Astyanax mexicanus: one gene and its partners. The protein of the gene in region 3 interacts with the protein of the main gene of each other region in a biochemical or structural test. Links are inferred from orthologs where the notes say so. Each region holds a gene or a part of one and is shown on either strand. Other genes may lie near its edges.

Region 1 (7,116 bases), on a different chromosome or scaffold from region 3:
CAGCCAAATAAAACAGCACAAAGCAGTAAACACAACTATTGTACAACCGATTTTGGGGTGTTTTGGGTTTTTTGTGTGTTTAATACTGAATCTGAGCTGAAACACAGTGTGTACTGAACTTCTGCTAAATCTGAGATCCAGACTTTACTGGTTAGAAGATCCTATGGAGTAAAGAAGACCAGAGATATAGCTAATTAGTACTTAACAATAACAAGAATAAAAAGGTAGATAGTAAAAAATACCACTAACTAAGACATTGTACAAAAAGTAAACTAAATACTAACTAAAAATAAGTAAATAATTAAATAAGATATTAAGATATTAACTAAAAGTAAGTTTAATTATATTGAATCTGTATATTTTAATACTGAATAAACACATGCAGTAATCATTAAACATCTAAAAAACATGTAGATTCATTAAACATATAAAATATAATAAAACACCACAGACCTGCAGATCTCACAGTTTATTCAGGAATGATTTAATACAGAAAATAAAAGGGGAAAACTACCACCATTATGAACAAAAACTTAACAGAAAATTATCTTTTAAACAGATATAAAGAGAATCTTTGTGTAGAAATTGTTAAGATTTTATTTAGATATTAATTTGTTAAACAGAAACTAGCTTTTGTTACCCAAAATCTACTTTTAATCTACAATCAGATTTTTTGTTCTGACTCAACAAATTAGATTCTGATCGAGTAAATAAACAATAAAGCTCATTTATAATGTTGAACAGGAGTGATGATCAGTGGAGCTGAATTTTTACCTCCATCATTGAGCTCAGGACTGAAGTATGGATAGAGTTTCTCAGTGAAAGACTGACCAGTGAAAGAGTAGATATGAGATCTGACCTCAACATCATAGAAGGAGACCAGACCCTCCTCATAATCCACAAACACCCCCACCTTCTGGGGAGCCTGATTTAACCAGAGGAGGACACGAGGAGATTCCAGAGCTTTATATTCAGTTTCATTCCTCAACCACACAGTCCAGTATCCATTCTCAGGACTCAGTATAATCCTTCCCTTCCTGTTGCTGGACTCTCTGGTCACTCCTAATGTCCACTTAGTCTTCCCACTGACCTGAACCTCATAGTAAAATCTTCCTGAGGAGAAACCCTCCTTTCCCAGAACACAGACACAAGGATCAAATCTCTCTGGATTATCAGGGAGATTCTGTTGTTTGTCTCCAAGTTTAACTTGTTTTTCATCATCAGACAGGATGAGAAAAGGATTTGCTGTATCAGGATCCAGAGTCACGTCCACTGAGAGAGAAACACAGTTTAAACCCATTTTAATCAACATACTGTAAGAAATAGAGAATCATACAGACTGAATCATGTGATCAGTGAAAGCCCCACCCACCTGCATACTGCTGAATTCTCTTCAGTTCTGTTTGAAAAAGAATAAAGACTATTAGATTCTAAATTCAGGTTTATTAAAAACCTGAACAGTAAACACTTACCACTCTTACCAATCTTCTCCATCTCCTGTGTGAGATGTTCCTGAAGCTGAGACAGAGCTCTCCTCAGACTCTCCACACTCAGAGGAGTGTTAACACTGACGTCAGTCCAGTTCTTGGTGTGTGGGGGTCTGCAGAGGGACGGGTAAATCTACAGTACAGCAGGAGAGAGGAGAAACCCCTCAGCATGGGCAGTGCTGTCCTGTGATGGACTGCATTACTATTGAGAAACAGAGGGACTCTGACCTGTAGGAGGTGGAGGTGGTCCTCAGTGTGGGAGATCTGCTCCAGCTCAGTGTCTCTCCTCTTTAGCTCAGTGATTTCCTGCTCCAGCTCTTTAATCAGCTCTTCAGCCTGCCTCTCTGCTGCTTTCTGCTTCTCCTCCATCACCTCCAGCAGCTCAGCCTGGCTTCTCTCAATGCAGCGCACCAGAGCCCTGAAGATCTCCACACTGTCTGCTTTCTCCTTCTCTCTGATTTTCTAAAAGGAGACAACAATAAGAACAATAACACTGTTTAAAGAGCAGCTTTCATATTTAAAATGAGTTTAAACGCTATAGAATCTCACTTTATTGAGTTCTACAGAGTGTTTGATCTCCTGGATCTTCTTCAGTCGCTCCTGGATCATCTGCTGAACTTCTGCCTGTGTCTTCTCCAGCTGAGTCTGTGATAAAGAGACACATTATGATCAGTTATTCTTAGGAAAAATAGGAGAATAGTAAAATTAGTGTTAATAACTCTCTGTCTAAACATCTCTCACCTTCTTCTCTCCACTCTCCTCCTCTATAGGAACAGTACTGTGAGTCCGGTGGTCTCCCTCAGTACAGAACTGACACACACACGTCTGGTCGTCTCTACAGAACAGCTCCAGGGGTCTCTCATGTTTCTGGCAGATGTAGTCCTCCAGGTTCTCCACAGGATCCATCAGCTTGTGTTTCTTATATTTGGGTGTAGTTTTATGAGGCATCAGATGAGTGTCACAGAAAGAAACGCCACAGTCCAGACAGGACTTTACAGCCTCCAGCTTCTCCTCACTACAATAGACACACAGCACCTTCTTAGATTTGGAGGTACATTTCTCTGGAGCTCTGCTGGACTTCTCCTGAACTGACTTCTTAAACTCAGAAGCCAGTCCAGAGATGAAGGTGTTCACACGGAGCTCAGGCCTTTTGGAGAATTCTTCTTTACAGACTGGACACTGGCAGTGTGAGCTGCTGTTCCAGCACTTTCTGAGACAGACCATGCAGAAGTTGTGTCCACATGGAGTAGAGACTGGATCAGTGAACACATCCAGACAGATAGAGCACTGGAGCTGATCTTCAGACAGGAGACTGCTGGAGGAAGCCATGACTGACTGAGGAGACACAGAGAAGCAGCATGAAGGTGATCTGAGAGCACAGAGATCATTTCAGAATAATTCTTAGTCAGTGAATGAAAACAATTTCACACTTTTCACCATCAAACCCATCCAGCTGCTGATCATCTCCACATTCCAGCTGTTAAAGCTGAACTCTGGGACTGAACTAAAGTGAACAGCTTGAGCTGGAGAAAAGAAGTGAGCGTCTTACAGCAGTTTAAACACGTAGAAGAGCAGTGAATGTAAAAAAATTAGCTGAACAGAAGGAAGCAGAAACAGGAGGAAGATTAAGAGACATTACTATGGCATCATATTTTACTGCCAATAGTCGAGAGCGAAGTTTTTGAATGTAAGAGTCTGTTTCATGCAGCGCTCACAGATTTTATTTGCTCACGTGTAAAATATAGGTGCGCTCTCACAAATTTACCATGCTCTCTCTCAGATTAACTCTCCTCTTGTACGAAACATCACACGCACTCTCAGATATATCATATCTGGGATATATCATATATCTAGCTTTGAGCTAATGCTACAGCACACAGAACTCACATCCAAGCGCAGCTGCAGAGATCAGCAGGGGACTCTTTTCGGCACAACACCAGCAAACTCCGGCAGTATGTTTACAGTATATTAAACACAGCTGATCCAACTAATGAACTAACTGACCTCTGTGAGGAGAGCTGGTTGTGTCACAGCAAAAAAAAAAAACTAACCCAGCAATAAAGAGTTACTCCAAAACCAGCTTTAAACACTGTAGCACGTTTTACCATTTACCTTTTTTTTATTTGGTGAAATAAATCTCAATGTTTGGTCTTTCTGGCTCGTTGTTTCAGTACATTAAGCCACGTTAAGATTCATCCTTATAATGTCTTTCAGTGGAAAAAAAACTCACATTAAGCCATTCTACATGTTTTACAGGACAAGTGTTTTAGACTCTGTAGTTCTTCAGTTAGCTGGGTTAGCTCTGTGGTTCTGGAGTAACTCTGTCCTGCTAGTTTTACTGCTGTAACACACAGCTCGCCTCAGTGAGGGCAGTTAGTTAGTTGATTAGTTGTTAGTTGATAATTTGAGTCATGTGTTTAGTATGTAATTAGTATAAACTAATGACCGTAATTAAATACTAAACCCGCAGGGAAGCGCTGCTCCTGAACTGAGAACCACTTTCTCTTATTATCTGCCTTTTAAAGCTCTAACACAGACTACACTGCTCAACATCACCATACTGATAGAGTTTTCACCTGTTTAAATACTTTAATGATCCTCTGTGAAGAAGAAGAATAGTGCAAAACGCGATCCGACCGGAGTTCGCTGGTGTACTGCAGAATCGAGTACTCTGGCATTTCCTGCCACAGATAAGCGTTAGCTTAAAGCTAGCATTTTTTCTCATTACAACTCTTAAACGATCTCATAATTCAGAGGATCTAGTGATGTATAGGAGGAAAATGTACACAGAATAAAACGTACAGAGTTCTGAACAGATTTATTTACCACAGAATGTGATAGAGGCGAGTTTTTGAGAACTTTCAGACACTTATAAGCCATACGAGAACTACAGAATGACGCACGACCTCAGCGGTCTATTTAACTGGTCAAATCCTTTTGCCACTTCTGATTGGCTGGAGACTTTTGGCAGCTTTGTTGCAGTAAAAATCGCTCCGCGAGCACACAGGGAGAGGGGGTTGGATCTCTGCCTGACGGGAGACGGGCGGCAGTGGTGGGTCTTCGTGACGTCACCCGCCAGACACTTTTTCATCGACCCGGCAGTGCCAGGCACGTACCCGGCAGTACTAAAAACTGACAGGGGGCTTGCTGACAGTACGCCGGCAGTTTTAAAAACTGTCAGGTAGCTTCCTGACAGTACGCCGGCACTACTAAAAACTGTCAGGTAGCTTCCTGACAGTACGGCGGCACTATTAAAAACCGTCAGGGGGCTAGCTGACAGTAAGACCGGAGTCAAGCTATCCGCGCTTCGGAAATTCTCAGTCAAGTCATCCGCGCTTTAAATTTTGATGCGCGTATACGTGCGATTTTACGGTAAACAGCCGCGCAGGCGGAGAGCACGCTTAAAAAACACAGAGAACGGGAGACCGACACGTTTCAGTCTATTATATTAATTCAGACATACATTAAGCCCAGAAACGAGAAAAAACGGATTAAAATAACTCACCTCACTGTATATTTTGTGCAGTACATTATCTATTTGATATAATATCCCATCAGTGTTTAAGAGAGAGAGAGTTTTATATTAATATTACTTTTTTCAATCCATGCTTCAAATTAAAATTTCTCATGAGTTTCCCAAAAAACCAAAACAGATCCAGTACCTTGTAAAAGAGTCCATCATAGACTATCACTTCTGCAAGTGTGGGCAATTTTTACTGTATGGTTTATTTTATATTAATAAAAAAAGTGTATGCGTGTTTAAAATTAAATTTTTCATGATTTTCCCATAATGCCAAAACTGGTCCACTACCATTTGAAAGAGTACAACATAGGCTGTCACCTCTGCAAGTTTGGGCAAATTTCACTGTATTTTTTATTTTATATTATTATTATTATTATTATTATTATTATTATTATTATTGTTTTTTTTATTCATGTTTAAAATTAAATTTCTCATGATTTTCCCATAATGCCAAAATAGATCCACTACCATTTGAAAGAACCTATGCTATGACTCCTGCGAGTTTGGGCAAATTTCACTGTTTTGTTTATTTTATATTAATTACAAAAATATATAGATATAAACATATATATATAGTATATGCATATTTAAAATTAAATTTCTTGTGATTTTCCCATAATGCCAAACCAGGTCCACTACCATTTGAAAGAGTATGTCCTAGGCCATGACTCCTGTGAGTTTGGGCAAATTTCACAGTTTTGTTTATTTTATATTAATTACAAAAATATATAGATATAAACATATATATATAGTATATGCATATTTAAAATTAAATTTCTTGTGATTTTCCCATAATGCCAAACCAGGTCCACTACCATTTGAAAGAGTCCATCCTAGGCTATGACTCCTGCAAATTTGGGCAAATTTCACTGTTTTGTTTATTTTATATAATTTTTTTTTTTTTTTTTTTTTTATGCTTAAAATGACATTTCTCATGATTTTCCCATAATGCCAACACAGTTCCATTACCATTTGAAAGAGTCTGTCCTAGGCTTTGACTCCTGCAATTTTGGGCAAATTTCACTGTATTGTTTATTTTATATTAATTTATTAATTTTTTATGCTTAAAATTTAATTTCTCATGATTTTCCCATAATGCCAAAACAGTTCCACTGTTAGCATTTGATGCCAAAACATAGGCTATCACCTCTGCAAGTTTTGGCAAATTTCACTGTATTGTTTATTTTATATTATTATTATTATTTTATTCATGTTTAAAATTAAATTTCTCATGATCTCATGATCTCTACAATTTGAAAGAGTCTGTCCTAGGCTATGACTCCTGCAAGTTTGGGAAAAATTCACTGTATTGTTTATTTTATATTATTTATTTATTTTTATTATTCATGCTTAAAATTAAATTTCTCATGATTTTTCCATAATGCCAAAACAGGTCCACTCCCATATGAAAGAGTCCAGTTTTTAAAACTGCCGGCGTAATGTCAGCAGGCTCCCTGACAGTTTTTAAAACTGCCGGCGTACTGTCAGGAAGCTCCCTGACAGTTTTTAATAGTGCCGGCGTACTGTCAGGAAGCTCCCTGACAGTTTTTAAAACTGCCGGCTCACTGTCAGCAAGCTCCCTGACAGTTTTTAAAACTGCCGGCGTACTGTCAGGAAGCTCCCTGACAGTTTTTAATAGTGCCGGCGTACTGTCAGCAAGCTCCCTGGCAGTTTTTAATACTGCCGGTGTACTGTCAGCAAGCTCCCTGACAGTTTTTAATAGTGCCAGCGTACTGTGAGCAAGCTCCCTGGCAGTTTTTAGTAGTGCCGGCGTACTGTCAGCAAGCTCCCTGGCAGTTTTTAGTAGTGCCGGCGTACTGTCAGCAAGCTCCCTGGCAGTTTTTAATACTGCCGGCGTACTGTCAGGAAGCTCCCTGACAGTTTTTAGTAGTGCCGGCGTACTGTCAGGAAGCTCCCTGGCAGTTTTTAGTAGTGCCGGCGTACTGTCAGGAAGCTCCCTGGCAGTTTTTAGTAGTGCCGGCGTACTGTCAGCAAGCTCCCTGGCAGTTTTTAATACTGCCGGCGTACTGTCAGGAAGCTCCCTGACAGTTTTTAGTAGTGCCGGCATACTGTCAGGAAGCTACCTGACAGTTTTTAAAACTGCCG
Region 2 (7,644 bases), on a different chromosome or scaffold from region 3:
AATAATATATTTAATAATACAAGTGTAATTTGTAACTTCGTCTGATTGTAGCAAATATCTTTTAAACAAATAAAAGATAAATATGCAATTCAGTGCAACTGCTGTGTATTAGTTTCTCCACAAGGTTATTAGCACTCAGTTAGTTTAGCATGTACCATTAGCAATGAAGTAAGACTCCAAAATCCTCCTGTGAATGCCCACAACAATATGCTGTTTCTCAATAAATAGACACTGTTTTCGACATTAGTTCAGTTACACAAATATACTACATAGAAACTGGTGTTCCCTGAATTTTGTGTTACTTTATTTATTTGATGTTTTTTGCTACTCGAAGCTAGCTTTTTTTTTTGGACATTCCCACACCAGCTAGCCATCTATATGCATGCGATCCTTAAACAGAAGAATTTTAGCATTTGTATGAGGTACAGGGACTTAAAGAAAATCATATTTACAGTTTTCGGAGTGCTGTTTTTTTTCTTCCTTTTTTACATTTTCAGATTTTGTTTCATGTTTATATCTGAATTCTGCTTTTTTGATAGGGCCCTACTAGTAATCTGCTGATATAAATACATAAACATTTGTAGATTGTAGAAATTTAGGTTATTTCTATATTTTTAATTCTGTAATTCTCAAGCAGATATGTACTATGCAAATATCATGCTGCCCTAATGTGTGTGTGTTTGTGTGTGTGTGTATTTCCAGCTGACCTGTCCCAGATCATTCTGAATGTCCAGGTATGGGGTCCAGGTGTGGTTGTGGGAGATGAGCTCCAGCAGGTATTGCACAAATCCCCACTGCTCGTGGATCAGCGCCAGGTGTAGTGCACTGCCAGAACAGGAAAAGGTCAAAAAGGTCAGCAGACATAAAACAGCAGTAGCAGGAAAGACCCAGAAAAGACCCAAAGAGCCCAACTAATGTTCCAGGTGGTCTCTTTCACCCAGCTTAGTACCTAAACCCAGACAGATTGTTTAATAACAGCTGTATTAATTTTTATATGACACTTTTTACACCTCCCAGAATTAAACAGGGCTGGGTTAACCAAAGCATTATGGCACAAAGGCAGTTCTTAAATGTTCATGCAAGCATCACAATGAGAACTTGCTCTACCAATTAAGATAATCTTGACCCTATAGACATTCTCACACTACAGTTTTTTTTTCCTAGGCCTAGAACTGCTTCCTAAGCCAAACTGATATATTAAACACCTATTGAGCTGTGGATGGAACAGTATGTTTGCGAACTATGTATACTGCACCACAATCTTGTTTTATTATTATTCAGATCTATATTTACTTAGGTAATCTAATATTGATTCATATAAACTGGCAGTGTGAATTGATTCAAAATTTTATTCACATTAATCAACAATATTCTGTAATTAATCATGATACTATCCTTGTTTTCTTGTAAGGGGGGACAAAAAGCACACTAATGTCAACAATTGACAAAATAAATGACAAAAGAGGAAAACAGTAGCTGTGCTGTGTTTACCACATTTAAAACTGCTAAAACAAATACACTGCAAGGCTCTGTAAAAAATACTGTATATATCACAATAATGTCTACCACATTACACCTTATACAAAAATGTTATACTATTATATTATCTTTATATCAGAGGCATTTTAAAAAGAAAATAATTTTGTTTATTTCAATTATTTCTGCCACAATATACCTTCTACTTTTTATGTGACAGACCTGGCTGATAACAATAATAATAACAATAATAATAACAATAAACCTTTTTCTTATCAAAGCTTTTTTTAATTTTTAAGTGAAATATCCCTAAATAAATATCGAATCAAATTCGACTTGTGAACCGGAATCGAATCGATTCATATTCAAATCAGTGCTGATACCCAGCCCTAGTATTGGCCTTTTACACCTCTGGTGAAACGTGCCAGGTTGTCCAGTCTGTTATGCAATAGTGGTCTCAACGCACACTTTACATTTAGATTAACAGGTTAAACATTTTATCGTCTTTAACAGCGCTGATTATGAATAATTAAAACATCGTGATCTAACTTAGCTTATAGAAAAGTTTCTTACGTGTCTCCGTCCTCCGACACAAAGCTCAGAGTCCTCCAGAGCTCCTCTTTCCTCTGCTCTTCCTCCCGGGCTCTCTCTTCTCCGTCCCCGGCTCCCGCTGCCTTCTCCTCGGCTTCCCCCGCGAGCAGCACGGTCCTGATCCCGGCCGACAGGCTCTCCACCGCCGCCGCCTCGTCTGTGATGGAGTCCCCGATAGCGGAGTCCAGCCTCTCCCCTCCTCCGCCGCCCAGAGACACGCACTCCCCGCTCTGACTCTCTCCCGCTCCGCCGCAGTCCGCCGGGAACCCGCGGGGCCACGGCAGCTCCAGCACGGGCTCGTTCTCGGCGTCGAGGAAGGAGTCGAGCCCGCTGTCGCACCAGTCCTCAGGGGGGATCTCCGAGCGCCCCTTCCCGGCCCCGGGCTGCCCGTCCTGCTCCCCATAGCCGCCGCTCTGGAGGTCTTGGGAGAACCGTTGGTGCGCCCACTCCATTTATAATCATTTAGCTGGCTATAGCTCCGAGAAAATCAAGCCTCTGTCGTTAATGCCAGCCACTTTCTCCTCCGGATCAAAAACCAAACAAACTACCCGCTGGTTTTAGCTAACGTTACTGTTTACAGAGAGCTCGCCCGCTGTTAGCCACCTAGCGCTAACAAGCTAACCAGCTAACGGGCTAATCGGCTAGCCCGAGTTTAGCTCAGCTCTGGCCGTTTGTTTTCAGGGCCGTTTTTCGTCTGGGATCAAATTCCGCCACAACAACAGCGCCAGGCGCCTCCGCGGCGTGATTCAGCCCCGTTTCCATGTCTCTGTCCGCTCCATATTAAACCCTTCACTCAGCCGTGCGAGCAGCACACCCGCGGCTCCACAGCGGCCAAGTTTCCAGAAAAAGCCTCTCGCCTTTCGCTGGCTGAGTAGGTGATTTCCCGGGGAATTCCCAGCCCGGACCGGTTCGATTGGGGATTTTGTTACACAGGCGTCTCAAATTGCTCCCAGCTCCCTACACCCTACTGCCTATGTAGCACACTTCTGTTCCAATAGGTCACACCACTAGTTACGGTCAGTGTAACGTTTATTAATTGAACTTTCTGACCGTTATAGGCTAAATACAAAGATAGAAAATTGGATGTAAAAACTAAATTAATAACATTTTAAAATGTAGTGCAGTGTACAAGAAATACGTTTTTATCCATGTTTCCAATTTTATTTCTTTTTTTTATCTCAGGAAAATAAAAAAATGGATATTTTCTTTATTTTCTGATTTGTCAATTTTTGCATTTTGCAAGTTGGATTAAACCATCAGATTTGTGTTACAAGACACAAAAATGGACAAATCCAAAAGTCGAGAGAAGATTCATCGTTTTAATTTTCGTGGATGTTTGTTTGTGAAAGGCTGAAATAAAAAAAAGATAAGTGAAAATCTATTTCATCTTCACTATACTGAATGTAAAAAAAATATTAAGTTTTATACCCAATTTTCTATTTTCGAATGTAGCCTGATACAGTCAGAAAATGAAACTGCTAAACGTTACACTGACCAGTTCAACACATTTCATTAAAATTTTATTCAAATTTAATTGGCCCATGCATTAGTTACAGTACTTATAAACACAGTGATCTGTAGTTTTTATAAACATGGTCAGGATTTTGAGTGCAGCATTTTAAACATGTAGAGAAAAACAGCAAGTCATGATTTATTTGAACACTGGTATTTTTGTTATTGCATATTATTGTAATTGTGTGCAATTGTTTAAAAGTTTAGATATTAAACATGTTAGTCAGCATTACTGCATAATGCAATACTCACCACAGATAACAAAAATACTTTTAAACTCTATGTCTGTCTATAAATCTGTCTATCTATTGTTATGTCATTCTATTGTTCCTTCTTTCGTTCTATGGTTCTAATGCTTTGTTGGTAGTTTGTGGGTGTGTTTGTGACATATCTTGTTATAGAACCACAAAAAGTAAGGTAAGACCAGTTTTGTAAATGCAAATAAGAGGAAACACACACAGTTGTTTTAACATCTACTTTGACTTTTTAGACTGCAGACATGTATTGTCTTCACTTCATTTCATTTGTTATTATATATCCATTCCTGCATTTCAGGCCTGTAACCCATTCCAAAAAAAAACAAAAAACAAAGGCAATGTACAAACTACATTTTTAAACATGTTAAAACAGTGTTGTTTACTTCTCACATAAACCAAGCAAATGTGCAATTCTGAGGTATCACCTAAAGAATTACTTCTGCACTTCTGCACTTAGGCTTATATGTGTGATCCCAATCCCATATTGGTAAATGGAAATCCAACACCCAGAAGAGAAGAGTATTTTTGCAGTGTTTATTTAAGGGACTTTTTTTTTTTTTGGTAATCCCCTGCAGGCCACACTGGACTATCAGGCTATAGTCTTGAATGAGCGCACCCTCATTTTCGCAACATCATTGGTCACTGACTCTTTTTGGTTGAAACATCAGATCTATATATATATATATATATATATATATATATATATATATATATATATATATATATATATATATATATATATACAAAATGAGTAGTATTATATGCTTGTTTAGAGTGTATAACAAAAAAAGAGGAGATTGTTGCATGAACAGCAGTTTTATGAATACACCACAAAGAGTGTTGTGAGGCACCATTTAACTTATATCCTCTGCCATTTAGAGAAGAGGAGCTGCTGCAGTAGTTGAAGATGCTTCATTTAAAACATCCACCATTCATCTTCTTTTAGTACTTTGTGGCGGGGAAAACAGCACCACAGTTTCCATATCCAAAGAAATCCACAGAAAGCTGCTGTACCTCATCTTCCACTAGATGGAGCTCAGGAGCTGGAGAACAGCTGCAGCCACTCATTTGTTAGCAGTTAGTCAGGGATACAGGCTAGCACAGCTTTGCTTGGCCAGTAAAGAGTAACGTACCTCATGCAGTAATGAGAACCAAGATTTTAATCTCTCTAACTGGATAATATCACTCCAGAGTGCATCTTTCAGCCCATAAAGTGAGTAGCAGAGCACATAAACACCACTAACCACAAGTACAGCAGCAGAAGCTAGGTTAAAGGAAACACCTTCAAAATAACCTTAGTGCTCTATAGTTTCAAATTTGAGTTCCACAGTACAGTTCTGGATTAATAGATTCTCTCAGCTGGAGCTAAACCAGAGTGTTAGTTTATTGCTGTTATTATTAAAATAATATAATAATATAAATAATATATAAAAAATTAAAATATAGGCTAATTTGAGCCAAAAAATTGTCAGGAAAAAAGGCAATGAGATGGCGGATGTTAGGAAAGGCCCCCTACCTGCAATATTTACATGTATATTTCTCCTGAAACCCATTTATTTACAGTAAGCTTCAAGGTGGCCAACATTATGTGGCATCTAGCTCCGTCGATACCAGTGATTGGCTAATTGAGCTAAGTGGTGAACGGCCCCATCATGTGTTTGCGAGGCTCCTGGGGTTAGCTCTTAGGCTAACATCTTCCCTGACACACAAGCACCGCATTAGTAGTGGTACTGTACTTAAGTACTAAAACACTGTATCTGCATTTACTGAAGTAATATGTTTTTTAAAGAGTTTTAATTCTCTTACTCTGATCATTTTTTATTGTGCTGCATCGTTATTCGTTACAATTATAAAAATGTTACGAATCAATCCAAACAGGCATTATCACTAAAGCAAGAGGGTTATATGCTCTGCAGTGTCACAGGGTTTGATAAAGCTGCTCAACATTAAAAGAATCATTGAGAGATTCAAGTGATTAAGCTGATTTTATAAGAAGACAGCGCTGCTCCTGTTTTGCCTTTTACTCTGCTGCCAGCCTGCATTGAGAACACTTGAGCTTTATTAGTTTGTTTTGAGATGAAAGAACCGGAAACACCACCTCTAGCACCTTCAACTTTCGAATAATAGTGGTGAGGGTAAGAAAGGAGACCACCCCTGGCCCTGCTTAGAGTTCATGTTTTTATTTGTGGGAGTGGGGAAGAGAAGAGAGACATGTTTTAAAGGGGAAAAGGAGAAAATTTATCTTTTTTATATATAAAGGGTTAAGCTCAGTGTTTTAAGATACTCTAATCACTTGTTTTTACGTATTTAACACTTGTATGTGGCATTTGCCTTCTTTAGTGGATTTTACAATAGTTATAAAATATACTAATGTCTTGCTGTCAATTTTCTTTAGCATTTCTTTTGGAAGAGTTTGTTTAGAGAGTTAATTGGAGATGTCATGTGCTTGTATTCTATCTTGTACAGTCCTGTGTTTGTACTGCTGCTACAGCAAAATGTTTTGTGAGTTTTCTTTAGCCTAAACATTTGATGATAAACAATATAAACATTTTTTTTACTGCTTTCTGTAATAACTACACAATAATGACACAGTACTTGTACTTTTATTTTCAGTATTTGAGTAGTACATTTTAAATTAAAGTACTTAAGTAGAAAATTGTTGAATACTTTTGTAGATCAATTTGAACTGTACTGGCAGTTGGGAGTTTTGTTTTTCAGTGTTAACCTACTCCGCACACAGCATGTTGATATATAGGTATATTTTGCACCACCAGATGGCAGAACACACACATGTGAAAGTCTCCATCCTTTTCAAACAAAGGAACATCCTTTCTGAGCATACCCTGATGATGTCATACTCATGGGGATCAGCTCTTCTTCAGGAATATCAGCATCAGGGTATAGCTTATGTTTTGGATGCAGTGCGACACTTTCCTCTTGAATGATGAAAAAAAACAGTTTTCCAACTGTATTGAGCAGATATGCTGGATCATCAGCCTTTCCAGAGATGATTTCCAGTGTGATTTAAGAGCTGGATATTGTGCTTAAAGTGACCATGGTGGTGACCATGAAGGGGGCTGAATCAGGCATGGGAAAATGATTAGTTGGTGGTTTTGTTGATAATGCTGCTGTATAAAATCAATAATAACCATGCGATTTTAGGACAAATGGAAAATGATAAAAAAATATATATATATAGGAAAAATACAGTAACAAACGTTTTCTTCACCTATTTGGTAAAGAAAAAACTAAAAATTAAATAAAAAGAAAAAAAAAAACAATATAACAATGTTCTTTTGGTGATATTTCTAATTTTATTTGTCCAAAAGGTGATCATGACAGGATCTGACATGCCCAGATGGCTCACCTTGACACCATTCCTGGATATCTGTGTCATACATTCTGAAGAATTTAAGATGCTACAAAGATTTTTGAAACAATGCTCTGATAAAACCTTATGATAAAAAGCTGTGAGTGTGAAGAGACCTTTAATTGGTGAATAATCTATCAAATCAAACTAAATTAAAATGAGGGAAAAACAACATACATAGAAATAGAAATAGAAAAACATGCCTCAGTTCCACTGTGTCACAGAGGTGGCATCTATAATTATATTTTTGTCCACTTTACAAAAATGCATTTTAATGTAACCAAAAAGTTTTTTTTAATGATTACAAGTGATCACAGTTGTAGCATCTGTATGTATAAAATGAATGTGTTGTTTATGTACAACAATGATAACCTTCACTGGCTAGCTGCATATACAATAAATATAAATTGATATCACAATATGAAAAAATAAATTGCA
Region 3 (7,628 bases):
TACATACCCTAAATCATACATATCCTAAATCATATATATCCCAAATCATACATATCCTAAATCATACATATCCTAAATCATACATACCCTAAATCATACATACCCTAAATCATATATATCCTAAATCATACATACCCTAAATCATACATATCCTAAATCATACATATCCTAAATCATACATATCCTAAATCATACATACCCTAAATCATATATATCCTAAATCATACATACCCTAAATCATACATACCCTAAATCATATATATCCTAAATCATACATATCCTAAATCATACATATCCTAAATCATATATATCCTAAATCATATATATCCTAAATCATACATACCCTAAATCATACATACCCTAAATCATACATATCCTAAATCATACATATCCTAAATCATACATATCCTAAATCATACATACCCTAAATCATATATATCCTAAATCATACATACCCTAAATCATACATACCCTAAATCATATATATCCTAAATCATACATATCCTAAATCATACATATCCTAAATCATATATATCCTAAATCATATATATCCTAAATCATACATACCCTAAATCATACATACCCTAAATCATACACATCCTAAATCATATATATCCTAAATCATATATATCCTAAATCATATATATCCTAAATCGTATTTATATTTTCATATGCAGTAAAATATGCAAAGATCGAACACATATACTGTTTAACAGGTTTGGGCTGCAAAAAACAGACTCACAAATCCAAAGTCACTTCTACAGCCCTGACTGTAAATAAGGATACATATAGAATTGAGAAGTATAGAAATCGTTATGATTTTTGAGATGTTTGAATGAATTCAGCTACTTTATGTTGCATGAATTACTGACACAGATGTGCACAGGTTTTGTCAGTAGAATAGATTTATCTGGAGAAGGTCTCTCTGGAATGGTGGAGCTCCATCCAGCACTTCAGTTTGGTTGGGTCAGTTGGGTATTTGTGGGGGTAAAGTGGGGGTGTTGCACTGTAAAAATGTTCATAAATGTTTACAAAAATGTAAATAGAATAATCATTTTTTTAGGTAAGATTACATTTATTTACAGCGATTATGTCTCAAGTATTTTGAGTTAGGTGAACGTTTGACATCTTTGCGATGGAAATGATCAACTGGACCGAGAATGCTCCATGCTAACAAACAAAACACCTGCAGTGATGCTGAATTTACTCATTTCTCTGACCTTGATGTTTCTCATTAATTACCTGCAGCTTTGTCAGATTGTCAGATTGTCAGATTGTCCGGCCTCAGTGTTGGTGGCTTTAAGAGCAAGTTACCTTTTTCTGTATATTTTGGATTTCCTTAACATTTTAAATAAGCAGTGTGCAGGTCTTTACAGTGTAATAAACAGTATATTATATTAATAAAAGTGATAAAATGTAAATGTGTGTCACTATCAGTTTTCATGAATATGTAATATACCCACAGTAATCACAGTGTATTTAAATGATTGAATATCTGGTGCTGCGTGACTCAGGCGTGTTTATATTCAGGACTACTGCCCTGTATCATCCTGCAGTTCACTCACTAACAGGAAGCTGTGGTGTAAACACACTCCTGTAGTTAGGGGTGTTTTATCCGGACGTCACTTCACCATCAGCGTCACGCTCACCAACAGACAACGACACACTGCCCAACAACACCGTCACCGCGCCGCCTCCCTCCCCGTCACTAACACTAGTGATCAGACCGTCTCTCAGATGTGGAAATGTGGGAAATAACTGTGATAAATGTGGGATGATTTGAGTTAAATATCTAAATGCTTTCGGTTAAGTTAGACTGAGTTGTTTTCTGGTGTTTATTTAGTGGTCACCAAATCAGACCAACATTAATTAAATACCATGAAGATGCAGCTCATCCAGATTCCAGATCACAAATATTTAACAAACTCAATCAGACACATTTATTCAGTTACTGTCTGAAACTAACGGTTCACTTTGAGATGATTTGGAAATGTTTCACGTTGGCAGAACAAGCACCAGGAGTAAAGCAGCATAAAGTTATCCAAAAGCAGTGTGTAAGACTGGTGGAGGAGAACATGATGCCAAGATGCATAAATTCAATCTGTGATTAAAAAACAACCAGGATTATTCCACCAAATATTGATTATTTCTGAACTCTTAAAACTTTATGAATATGAACTTGTTTTCTTTGCATTATTTGAGGTCTGAAAGCTCTGCATCTTTTTTGTTATTTCAGCCATTTCTCATTTTCTGTAAATAAATGCTCTAAATGAGAATATTTTTATTTGGAATTTGGGAGAAATGTTGTCTGTAGTTTATAGAATAAAACAACAATGTTCATTTTACTCAAACATAAACCTATAAATAGTAAAATCAGAGAAACTGATTCAGAAACTGAAGTGAAATCTTAATTTTTGCAGAGCTGTATATTAATATGTTATAATACTGTAATTAACTAAACATACTTTAAATGTTTGTGACGCCATTCCCACTTTCATCATCCAACACCGGAGGTAAATAAATTTACAGTGAAACCGTGCTGTTCTCTTCTCTAAACACTCTTCTGTTTTGCACTGGAATGATGGAAAAACAGATTACACAAGAAATACTGATTTAATCATTGTGGCTTTTCTTTGGTAAATCAGACTCAGTGTAATCTGAGGGTCTTTGCTGAGAATTTATCAGCAGGATTCTACCCTTGTGAAAAAATATTTTTTTAATATAATATTAGTGTACTTGAACTACATGTGGAATAATTATCATATACTTTTCTGCCTATACATATATCTTTACCTGCTTAATTTACCTAGTTTTGTACTGGTGATGTACTTAATAAAATACATGCTTAATATTATTTTATAAAACTGTGCATTTTTATCACAAAACTATACTTTTATTGAATTCAATAAAACTGTACTTTAGTGAAATTTGCTAGCAAAACATTTTTTTTGCATATTTTGTGTTGCTTATAAAAATTAAAACTGTGCTGATGAACATTTCAGGTTTTAAATAAAGTTAACTTTATAGGATATCTTCAAATACACAGCATACACAAATATACTTAAATTGTATTAAATAGTGTCGTTAAATAGTGTATTAAATATTTGACTAGTACACTGATATAATTATATAATTTTAACTACAATTTTAATAAAGTACAAATTAGTGGTTCCAAAAAAACATAACTTAGTACAGTCCTAATTCAGTATAATTTAAGTATACTTTAAGTACAGGAGTAAATCAGATCAGAGAGCAGAGCCTCTGTGTTCACATCCTGCAGAACAATATTAAATAAACACATTTCCTCAATCTGAACCAAAACTGCGGAGGAAGTGAGTGTGAGGAAGGTCCGGGGTAGAGGTGTGTAAATCTGTTCACACAGGGAACTACAGCCGGAAACACCGAGCTCACGCCTGTACCAGGAAATGAACACATAGACTCAACACTGCCTGATGAGGGACAGGGTCAAGATTACGTTTACTGTAATATAAAATTCGAAAAATGTATTTTACTTATTAGAATTGGCTTTAGAATACTAATATATGCTCTTTAAATGTCTTCATAATAGTTTTTTTTTCAATATAGTTGCATTGTATACTTTAAATATCATAGTAACTCTAAATTGTTATTTATGAGTGTTACAAAATGTTGGAAACTTGTATTACCAAAGTTTATAAAACTATTGGTTCCTGCCATCATTTATTTACCTTTTACACACTGTAATTCCCAAACATTATTCAAATATTTTGAGTTAAGCGAACATCTGTGCCCACATACACATTCAATCAGAGATCTAGCAGTTTACAAGGGGCACTGAGTGATGTATGGGTTTAGGGGCGGGGCAGAAGGGAGAGCAGTGTGCCTCTGATAGCAGTGAGATGCAGATGGTTGGATGTCGTCAGCAGGGGGGCGGTATTATTGATTGATTGACTGATTGCTTGATTGATTTGCTTATTGTGAGTATCCATGTACCAAAGTACACAGAAACATCTTCCACAACTATAGCACAGTTAAATCTGTGAAGGCGCTACAGAGGCAGAAATAAAATCCACCATAATAAAAGCCTTTTTTGTAAAGGTTTGAAAATATATAAATATAAAAAAAAAATACCAAGACTGGTATGTTTCTTTACCTCAAAAAGGGACACGTTTCAGCTATTAATGAAAAATAAAATGGTTTACAGGGTTTTAGTGACTCTTTAGGTTTTAAGGATTTTAAGTACACTTTAATAGAAGAGATTGTTTTAATATTAACTTGAATATATCTTGATAATTATTTCTTTATTAATAATTATTTTATAAATATTTATTAGTACATTTATAATATACTTTTTTAGGGTAATTATTCAGTAAAATAAATTAATTTATCAGATTTTACACTATAAATGCAGGATTTGTCTGATAAAACGAGGCGCTTAGTTTTCCCACCCGTTTTCTGACATTGTCCCACCCAATGACTGTATCGGCCACATTCTCAGCCAGGATTGGCTAGACGTAGAGAGCTTCTGTCCCCTGATTGGCTTGTTAGATTTAAGTATCCAATCCTCTCCGAGAGGAGGCGGGGTTTACCTGATTACAGGTGTGTAAAAAAACGCAGCTCAGTGTTTACGGGAAGTGACTTTTCACTTTTCAGTATGAGGAAGTGTGTGCGCGTGAAGTTTTAATGGAAGATTCAGCTTTAAAAACTACATTTTACCGCTTTATTAAAGATTAAAGAACAGATATAAACACTGGGTATAACAGCGCGGTAGTTACATCGTATTTAACAGTGTATTTAAGTGTTTAGAAGCGGTGACTTTGATCCTGTTGTTGTGAAGGAGCGGATTCAGGTGATAAAGGTAATGTGTTGTTTAGTTTTACTGTTTTATTCTTATTTTACTATTAAATAAACAGATAAAGTATAATGCACACTGTCTCTCACATACACACAGCTCATTATTCACTGTTTTAAAACTATAAAACATCATTTTCCTCTTTATTAACTCTAAAACTGGAGTAAACAGAGCAGAGCTGCTGTAGTTCTGAATGTACCGCGTGCTGATAAAAATACTGATACTGATATAGATAGAGCCCACGCGCGAGAGTTTTAACCATAATACTAGAAATATCATTGGTTATTTTTGTTTTAAACATATTTGATTGGTTTCCTTTATCTCTTTTTATCTTATTTTCACTTCATTTCTAAAAATTCCTGTTCTTTTTATAAGTATAAGCTGCAGTCCTATATAAATTTCCTTTGTTTTTAATTTAATTTTATTAATAATAATAATTAATAATTTAATTAGCAACTAAATGCCCCAAACAAATACAAGTACATATGGTTGTAGTTGGTGTGGTGTAGTGGATAACACCACCGCCTGCCAGTGAGCTACGAACAACATGTGGGAGACTGGGGTTCAATTCCAGAGTCCTTGGACTAGACTCCTAACACTACATTGGCCCATTTCTGTAACAGGAATAAACTTATAAGTCACTCTGGATAAGAGCGTAATAATAACCGTAAATGTGATGGTTATTGTAAAGAATAAATAGAGTATTATACCACAGTTAGTTCCGACCCTGCAATGTGATTGGCTGAAAGGTGTTCTATGAGTGCCTTTATCAGCCGGTAATGCACTGTAACTAGACTCTCCATGTATTACTACGCCCACATACAGGTAACCTAGCAACGATGCAGCGCTTACAAACCAGACAGCGCAGCTACAAACAGAGCAGCAATGGAACTATTTTAACCAAACAGATCCTATTTTCTCCTCCTCTTTAACTCTTTAAAATCTTTCAATAAACAGTGATAATTGAACTGTGGTATAATTAAGCAATAATACACTCCTGTTATAGCACTGCCTCTTGAGAATTATTGGGAATCATCTTAAATCTAACCTCAAGTGATGGTTATATATATATATATATATATTCAGGTGGCAGCTGTTTATCAATAGGGCATCCCAAACTGTATGAATTTACTGTAAAATAAAAACAGCAACAGGTTAAAGTGTGTTTAATTCTTGTCTCTTTTTTAATGATTAATTTCTCCTCAGGACTGTGGAGAGAGCTGGACCTGAGGGGTCAGCATGAGCCGAGCTTCTCCCATGCAGCCCCAGAACTGCGGACCCTGGGAACTGAAGGAGAGACTCGGGACCGGAGGATTTGGAAATGTTACTCGGTGGCAGAACAAGGTATAAAACACTGTCTAAAACTTATAATAATAATAATAAACTTTATTTTTTATAGCACCTTTCATACATAAGCTCAAAGTGCTTCACAATAAAATTTTATAAATTAGCAAAATGTAACAGTAATATAAAACAAATAAAACAATTAAAAAGTAACAATTTCATAAAATAGTAGGAAATAAGACATTTATATTAAAATAAAATATAAAATAAGATAAATGTAAACAAAAATGATAAATTAAGAATAAGAACAACAAAAGCATTTACATAAAAAAAATATGCTAGTATAAGCAGTACAGAACTTGTAGAAAGCTGAACAGCTAAAGGAAGGTTTTTAGCTGTGTTTTTTAAAACTAGTAACACTCGATACCTGACGAATATTAATTGGTAAAGAGTTTAATATTTTCCAGATAAAAATCCAGATAAAGAGCTGTATATTTTACACCCTGCGCAGGATGTCTCGAGATGCTCATCGCCATCTTACACCCCGTCAACATTCCTCGTTTAAACAGCAGCAGAGCTATTTAAATTTGCTTGTTTATCTTGGTAACAGAAAACACAGGAGCTCCACTGACTGAATACAACCTAGACAGATGCCAACAGTCAGACGTTCATCGCTATCTTGTAATGCTGGTCATGTTGCTGTGCTGGTCATCCTGTAGTCCTTTATCAGTATTTTCATTAGGTTTTCTATTCTGTGGGTCCTGAGTATTAAAGAACAGAGTGAAAATTTGAAGGAGGAGAATAATAATAAAGTATAATAAAGAATAATGTTATTATTATTGATCTGTGTTTATAATCTGCAGGGCTTCTTTTCTTCATTTCTCTGAAGTGTCGTTTATTTAGTATCTTCGTTTATGGTAAAGGAAGCTGAGTCAGTCTCACCTCACCTCAGAAATACATCAGAAATACACAGATAAAAATAGAGCTGCTATTGTTTACCACACACCATTACCAACAATAACCTGTTAAACCCAACAGGAAATATGATATATATATGAGCATCCTCTTAAGGTGATCTCATACCGGGTCATCACCTGCCTCACCCTGGCAGCCGATTATAACTTTAAATATGGTGGAAAAGGTTGAAAATCCCCCTTCTCCTCCACCAGTCTTACACACTGCTTTTGGATAACTTTATGCTACTTTACTCCTGGTGCAAAAATTCAAGCAGTTCAGTTTGGTGGTTTGATGGTTTGTGATCATCCATCTTCCTCTTGATTATATTCCAGAGGTTTTTAATTTGGTAAAATCAAAGAAACTCATCATTTTTAAGTGGAATCTTGTTTTTTTCCAAAGCTGTATAGTATCTGGCTGCATGCCGATAAATTATAAATGTGTTCTGAGAGTCACTAATGGTTTTTATTTTAGGCGTCTGGGTCAGGACCTCTAAAACAGCTGGAACTGTAATATTAGTGGAGGTTTACGTAACTGTGCTCTTATTATTCTGCTCAGA
Region 4 (7,132 bases), on a different chromosome or scaffold from region 3:
AGTAATGTTTATATGTCGTAACTAGGGATCTTAAATGTATCAAATGTAAAATTAATTAAGTATCCTGATGCAGGTCACACATCATAAATTATTTCTTCATGTATGGGGATATTATATGTTATAAATCAATTATAATAACACATTGGCACAACTGGTGAAAAAAATGATATGAAACACAGGGAGGTGATTGTCAGAAATACCCAGCTCCTCACTCACAACCACATCCTTATCAGCATGGATCGCCATTTCAGTTGCAGCTTCAGGACATGGACACAAAATAAAATGAGTCAGCTGCACAGACACTGGAACGGATTGTCCTGCTCTCCCTCACCCCTGTCCCAGTGTCACCTGATACTATGAATTCTAGTAATCAGCAGCCAGTGGTATCCATTCTGAGAAGTCTTTTATTCAAAGCAGCACATTCAGTTCCAACACTTTCACATCCGCAAACGACTTCAAAACACAAAATTCCCAGACTAGATTAATTCAGAGGAAGCTGCACAGAGTCCAAATATCTATATTAGTAACATATGTACAATAAACCATATAAATTAACTGTTTTAGATGCTAGCTACAAGAGGAAAAGTCAGCAAATAAAATGTCTGGATTCAACAGCTCAACTCTGAAACGATTCGAAGTCACCACAATACCACCGTCACCCCAATCTTGGAAACACACTAAGGAAAAAGTTCTAGTCATGACAAAAGGTGATGAACAATACATTTTGGCCGACGTCTCCTTTCAACTTTCTGTAAAACACAAGCTTTCATGACACTTCTGTTCAGGTGGGGCTATTGTAACATAAGTGACTGTAAAGTGAAGCAAAAAGGGCAAGTACACAGATGCTTCCTCTTGTTAAATTACTCATCCTAAGCAAGCAGAATAGCTTGACCTCAAGTTAACAGTAGAAATGTTTAACTCTCTTAGAGCTTACAGTTAACAGCGCAATAGTGGGGCCACTTAAAATCAAATCACACCAAAAAGGGGTGCTACAGGATTTTCCCTCTATGTCTAAAATGCCTGTGCATCAGGCATTTAAAACAAACACAATATACATCCACAACTGACTATTTGATCTTGTCATAATTCATACACAAACCTTTAGCAAGTCTATCTTATACTGAACAGAGTTCACCACAGACAAATTTGTATGTGCAGTGGGCCAGTTAGGCCTAGAGGGCCTTAAATGGGCACAATTCGTTAATGAAGCAAAAAGGGAACTGTGAATAGCCAACAGGATCTGCACTACATGAGAAAACTTTTATGTTAATGCTATACATGATTACAAACAAATCCTTATTAGATGATGGCTAACTAAAAAACTTTGTATTCAGCTGTAAGCTTGCTCTACAGACATACCCTGTGTTAAAGGCAAACCAGTTTACCACTCTAAAGCCAAGTATATCCATAATTTTCAGTCTGCAGGACTCTCCAATCTGATTTGTACAAAATCCCCACAAAAAAGCAGCTACCAAAAGAGATGCTCAGGCTGGCCAAATCTCATTTCTATGTGACAACCTAAAAGCAAGACTTTACCGTTCGTCCGGAGCGGCACCAGCTTCTTGACCTCTCGGCACCAGTTGAGCCTCTTCTCCTGCTCCAGGGAGATCTGCATGGCCCGGTCCAAGATGGCTGCCTGGATGACTTCGCAGAAGGCCTGCGGGAACTGGCTCATGCGGATCATCTCCAGAGTGTAGCGGTGCATGCCCCGCAGGTGATGGAGCAGGCCGCCGCTGGAGGAGGGCTTCACGACATCGTTGGGGACACGTTCGCGTATCTTTACAGCCTTTAGAAGGTTGCTGACAAACAGGAACTTGGGCAGGAAGTTCTGGCCCTGGGACATTGTGTTCTTGGGAGAGGAGCGGGACACCAAATTATTTCTGTTGGGGGGAAAAGAACAGCAATAATGACATTACTCAACATGTACAATACTCAACCAATTACTCAACCAATACACTCTGACAATGTAGGCTGGAGTAAATATGTGGGTTAGATATAACAGGTGGGCCCATGGAGCCACCTGACGTTGGACACTACCAAACCCTTATTGTGAAACACTTCCTCGAGGTCATGATGACAGAGATGGACAAAGGGTAATTTTTGGTCTATTACACTACAGTCTGCGGACGGCAGACACACACACACACACGATTCTCATCTTCTGTCAGTGAAAGTGCCTGAGGATGCTAAGCTAACCTACAAGGGCATCATTTAGGCTCTCCTGCGCTCAGTCACAGGCTGAGGTTGTCTGAGGACAACTTATACAAATACCCTGCCTCTCTCACACACACACACACAACTCATGCCCACCGTCTCTGCCCGCAGTAAAACGCTGCTCAGAGGAGAATGGCTGAGCGGACCGGGGGTGAGGCGGCGGCGGGGTGTTTTGCTCGGCTGCAGCACAACAATAGGAGCCGCTGCGTCTCGCCGCTCCGCTCGGGGTAAAGCAGCGGCGACGGCGAGCTGGCGCTCCAATTACGTAATTCTGTCCCTTACAGACAATAAACCCCCGCCACACACACTCCACAACCCGCCACACACACTCCACTACCCGCCACACACACTCCACAACCCGCCACACACACTCCACTACCCGCCACACACACTCCACTACCTGCCACACACTCCTCATTCACACTGGCGAGGCCGACAGCGGGCCGCCGCTGCGCGGAGTGTTTAATAAGCGGCTGTGAGGAGCGTCTTCACAAACAATGGCTGTCAGACCCGGGCATTCAGAATCACACCGTCCATCCGCTCTCACTCACACACCGAGTCACCGCGGCCCGCTCCGAACCGACTCCGTCTCATTTGGCTCAGTGTGGAGTCAACACGGATAATCGCGGGGCGGACCGGGGCCGCGCGCCTCTTACCTGCTCAATATGTCGGTATCCAGCAGCGGAAGCCCGAGAGAAAGAGCTGCGACTCCGCGCCTCCTCGGTCCCCCAGTCCGGAGCGCTAAACCCCGCTAACCGCGCTGCTGCTGCTCCATGGCGCTTCACACCGCGGGCTGATCCGCACCACCAGCCTCCTCACAATAACACGCTCTCTCTCACACAGCGGAGCGGAGCGGGGCTTAACCAGCCGAAAAGCCTTCGAGTTGATGTCAACAAGGAAAAGCCAGCGGGGATTTCCAAGGAGGTACTTTCCACTTTCACAACCGCGCGCAGCCAATTACCTCCCCAGGCCCGCGCGGACGCTCGCGGAGCGCGCTGACGTCGCCCTCGAAACGGTGACGCAGTTACGCTGCTAATGTTTGCCACACCCATCGGCGGAGGTCTGGCCGGGAGTATCTGTCTGCCCGCTGTCGGGCCTTTAAATCTTTCTATTGTCTTAAAAAGCTCCAGCCTTTACCACCCATGAACCCACCAGCCCCGCTGCCTGCGCCCCTCCGAGCCTCCCCCGCAGCGGCGCAGGGCTGCTGTTAGCCGCGGAGCGCGCCTGTTTCAGGCCTTTCAGCGGGTTAGTGCTGTCTGAGACTGAGGCCCGGCCAGCAGAGGGCGCTCAGACCCGCAGCCAGAGCACCCTCACCACCCTCACTAGATAACACCTCAATACCACCACCAACTACAATTCAGTTACGTCTATATAACTGAGTTAAACAGCTTTAGGTTTATTCTGGGTCAAAAAAGGAAAATACCTACACCACATGAACAACATATTGGGACAGCTGCTCATTATTTTTCTTCCAAAATTAGGGATATTAAAAAGGGTTTGTCCCCACTTTATACTAGACTATAAAGCATTGCTGTGAGGATTTGATGCACTCAGCACCAAAAGCATCAATATATTGGAAGAACCCTCATACGTCTAACCCATGCCTGGCATCACGTTCAGGCTTACATTTATCTGCTCCAAAAAGATTCTATTATCAGTTCTTCTCTACATGGACTAAGCAGAAACCAAGTAATAGTGGCAAAATGTAGTTAATGATAAAAACACGTCTCTAAAAATATAAAAACATAGAATTTAGTAATTTTGCTTTTTACTCATTTTTACCCTACTGAGACAAACTTATTTGCATATCACTCTGACCTGAGCTAAGAGGCTTTTGGCATTGTTTTGGTAAATGGATAGTAATATATTGTGTAACATTTTTAGCTCTTTTAGATCCTATCATCTTATAAATCTTATGTGTAACTGGGAAAATAGCGTCTGTATTGTTTACAACACTGTCTGATGTTGTTGAAGTAAGCAGGACCCAAAAAACTATGTAATGTTATGTAACCTGAGAATCTTGTACTATTACTTTGCTGTGTCAGCTCACATGATTGTTTCTCTTTCAGTGTTAAGTCCCAAAATGCATGTATAAAGTGTGTTGCTGGGTGGTGGCTTAAAGTACAAATGCCACAACTGTACGGGGAGCCCAGAAGCAAGAAATACCAGTTTAACTGCAGCCATTCTCTCGTTCATATGCCAACTGTACAGATAGCAGTACTGTAAAAAACTGATGACAATCTTTTAAGTGTTGCAGTACAGGGTGTCTTCTCAAAAAAGTATATTTGTATTCTAAAATTTGAAAGAATAAAACAAAATAAGTGGGTGACCAACAAATCCATGTGTGGAGCCACCGTGTCCAGCACCAGGATCAACTGTTTGTTGTAAGGCATCACACATTCATAAGGCCTGGTGTCACGGGATGGATTATTTGAGACCTCTGTATCTGTACCTCAATGAATAGGACCATGTCATTCTAAATTACTAACCTTTTTTGGTATTGGTAACTTTTATCTTCCTTCTGAATAACTTTACAATCCCACACTTTCTTCTGGGTGCAAAAGTGTATTTACCAATTTTGCTCAGCCTACAGCAGGAAAGCTCCGCCCATACTCACATTTATGTTTTAGAAATATTTCAGTTCAAACAGCTTTTTGATTGAGGCACGGTAAGAGACGGGCACTTTGAACAGTATTAGGATGACATCTAAAACACAAATTTTAACGTATCCTTTTTGTTTAAAATTGTCGTAAAAATAAATGACGCACATTTAGAAATGGACCTTAAGGAAAGTATTTGTAATATAGCAGTTATTATATTATAACTATCTAGTAATCTAGTAAGTAATTCTTTTACTTAATGATGATATAGCTGATATAGCTTACAAAGATCATCTGCAGCATCATCTACCCACACCTTTAATAGGTGTGTATACTGTATATATTAATGAAGGATTGCAAGGAAATGAACTAAAATGTATAGATGAATAAATGTAGCTCTAGTTCTATTTTGAGCCATGTATAGTAAAGTAATGTGTTCATCTAGTGTAGTTATGCTTTTATTGTGGTTTAGGAAGCATTGTATTTACATTGTTTCTAGTAAAATTATATGTTGAAGTAGTCTAAACTATAATAACCATCTAATTTAAATGATATTTGCTTAAATAATTTGCATGTTGCATAGGTATAGGAGTTTCCATTAGTCTATAATAGAAGTATTGTGTTAAACTAGTGTAGTTTGATTATATAGTGGTATGGATATAATAGTTTGATATACACATAAACGTATAATTCCAGTTATTTATCATTGTGTAGTTAAAAGTACACTACATTCACTGTCCATCTTATCAGCTTCTCTGATCATATATAATTGTATAATTACAGACTGTAGTCCTGTATTCATGTCTCTGTACACTGTATTATTATTCTTCTTTCACCCTGTTCTTCAGTGTTGCTGTACAGTTTGTGTTTGTGATCCTCTAGTCCTCCATCAGGACACTATTGGTTGGATATTTCTGGTTGGTGGAATATTCTCAGTCTAGCAGTGACATGGAGGTGTTTAAAAACTCCAGCAGCACTACTGTATCTGATCCATTCGTACCAACACAACACACACTAACACCTCATAGATCACCACCATACTGATCAGTGTCAATGTAGCCGCTCTATGGTGGTCTATTCTGTAGGGTCTCGAGCATTAAAGAACAGAGTGAAATAAGGAATGTACCGGTAATTATAAATTATAAATTGTAAGTATAAAACATTTTAGTTGAAAACCTGCATTCATGCCGGCCTGTTGCAGATAAGGATTGACACAAGTACTGCACAAAATCCAAACAAACACGACTATACTGTTTATTTACTGTACGCTGGTCAGTGTTCTGAAATTTCAGACATCGTCCATGATATGATCAATAAAGCATGCTGTGACATATTTGATCATAACATTAAAATATTGTCACATTTTCCACATATAATAATCACCTGCTCATACCAGTGCTTTACCAGAACATGTACTGTACTATCTTCCCTCATTCAGGCTTGTGCTATACCCACGAATAGGTATTAAGACTGTCACACAAACACATTTGGTTGAATCATCATGTTTTCAGTAAATGAACAGACAGGTTTATACTGTTCTCAGTATTTTCTGGCTAAGATTCAGAAATATCAGCTCTTGTACTATGAATTAATTATTCTAAATTGTCACACAACCTGTTTCAATTTGTCTGTTTTTCTTTGTAAAGAATTTGTTCAGTAATCCCAATATACGTACCCAGTTTCAGTCTGCTCACACACAGTGCAGGGACATCTACGAAGCCTTCACTGTGTCCATGCCTGCAGCCTATTCCTTTTTTAAGTTGCTTCTTCTAATACTTTGTTCAGATTTTTACTGCCGTATGGCCTTGTATAATGTGCCACACGCTGCTTAGAGTGGATGTGAACATACATATGATTCACATCAATCAACCGTCCACTTTTTTTCTCACTCAGTTTAGTCAAGGGGAACTTCCCCGGGGTTATTCTCAGACAGAGATGAAAAGAAAGAAAAAAAACTTTATGAAGTGCAGAAAAGTTTTTCCACAGCCTGGCCTACTCTGCGCTGCTGTACATTCTGTTTATAACCAGGTCTAAAATAAAGATCAACCAGTTTCACACTGATACATCTGGTGTGTCTATAATAATTAATAATAATTCTATAATAACACAAGTTACTGTTTTATGATAGGCACAGAGATTATTAAGCTTATTTGTGTACATTCTGTCCAGGCCAGTGTTCAGTAGATGTATTTATTATATGGTTCACATGACTTTGATCATTATAAATGCTGTGACTCAGAACTATGCAGTGCCGGGGGCTTCCAGTTGGGAAACACTGGCCTAATAAAACTGTTTCATACTAGTTAAAAAATCACCTG

Evidence for each region.
Region 1: of the proteins of ikbkb (region 3) and nuclear factor 7, brain-like, one has a biochemical effect on the other in vitro, tested with the Homo sapiens proteins (2 studies listed by BioGRID). The link is inferred for Astyanax mexicanus from reciprocal best matches to the Homo sapiens genes IKBKB and TRIM21.
Region 2: of the proteins of ikbkb (region 3) and nfkbib, one has a biochemical effect on the other in vitro, tested with the Homo sapiens proteins (2 studies listed by BioGRID). The link is inferred for Astyanax mexicanus from reciprocal best matches to the Homo sapiens genes IKBKB and NFKBIB.
Region 4: of the proteins of ikbkb (region 3) and tnfaip3, one has a biochemical effect on the other in vitro, tested with the Homo sapiens proteins (2 studies listed by BioGRID and IntAct). The link is inferred for Astyanax mexicanus from reciprocal best matches to the Homo sapiens genes IKBKB and TNFAIP3.

Annotation. Positions count from the first base shown.
Region 1 is NC_064415.1:5,422,883-5,429,998, forward strand, and holds nuclear factor 7, brain-like, read right to left. Parts: upstream 3,006-7,116; 5' UTR 2,817-3,005; coding exon 2,229-2,816; intron 2,133-2,228; coding exon 2,037-2,132; intron 1,950-2,036; coding exon 1,716-1,949; intron 1,621-1,715; coding exon 1,473-1,620; intron 1,400-1,472; coding exon 1,373-1,399; intron 1,273-1,372; coding exon 725-1,272; 3' UTR 465-724; downstream 1-464. UniProt on the Homo sapiens protein: E3 ubiquitin-protein ligase whose activity is dependent on E2 enzymes, UBE2D1, UBE2D2, UBE2E1 and UBE2E2.
Region 2 is NC_064408.1:33,211,259-33,218,902, forward strand, and holds the start of nfkbib (NF-kappa-B inhibitor beta), read right to left. Parts: upstream 3,006-7,644; 5' UTR 2,520-3,005; coding exon 2,050-2,519; intron 826-2,049; coding exon 708-825; intron 1-707. UniProt on the Homo sapiens protein: Inhibits NF-kappa-B by complexing with and trapping it in the cytoplasm.
Region 3 is NC_064419.1:217,605-225,232, forward strand, and holds the start of ikbkb (inhibitor of nuclear factor kappa-B kinase subunit beta), read left to right. Parts: upstream 1-4,617; 5' UTR 4,618-4,837; intron 4,838-6,037; 5' UTR 6,038-6,070; coding exon 6,071-6,175; intron 6,176-7,628.
Region 4 is NC_064414.1:16,579,347-16,586,478, reverse strand, and holds the start of tnfaip3 (tumor necrosis factor alpha-induced protein 3), read right to left. Parts: upstream 3,006-7,132; 5' UTR 2,871-3,005; intron 1,881-2,870; 5' UTR 1,844-1,880; coding exon 1,537-1,843; intron 1-1,536. UniProt on the Homo sapiens protein: Ubiquitin-editing enzyme that contains both ubiquitin ligase and deubiquitinase activities.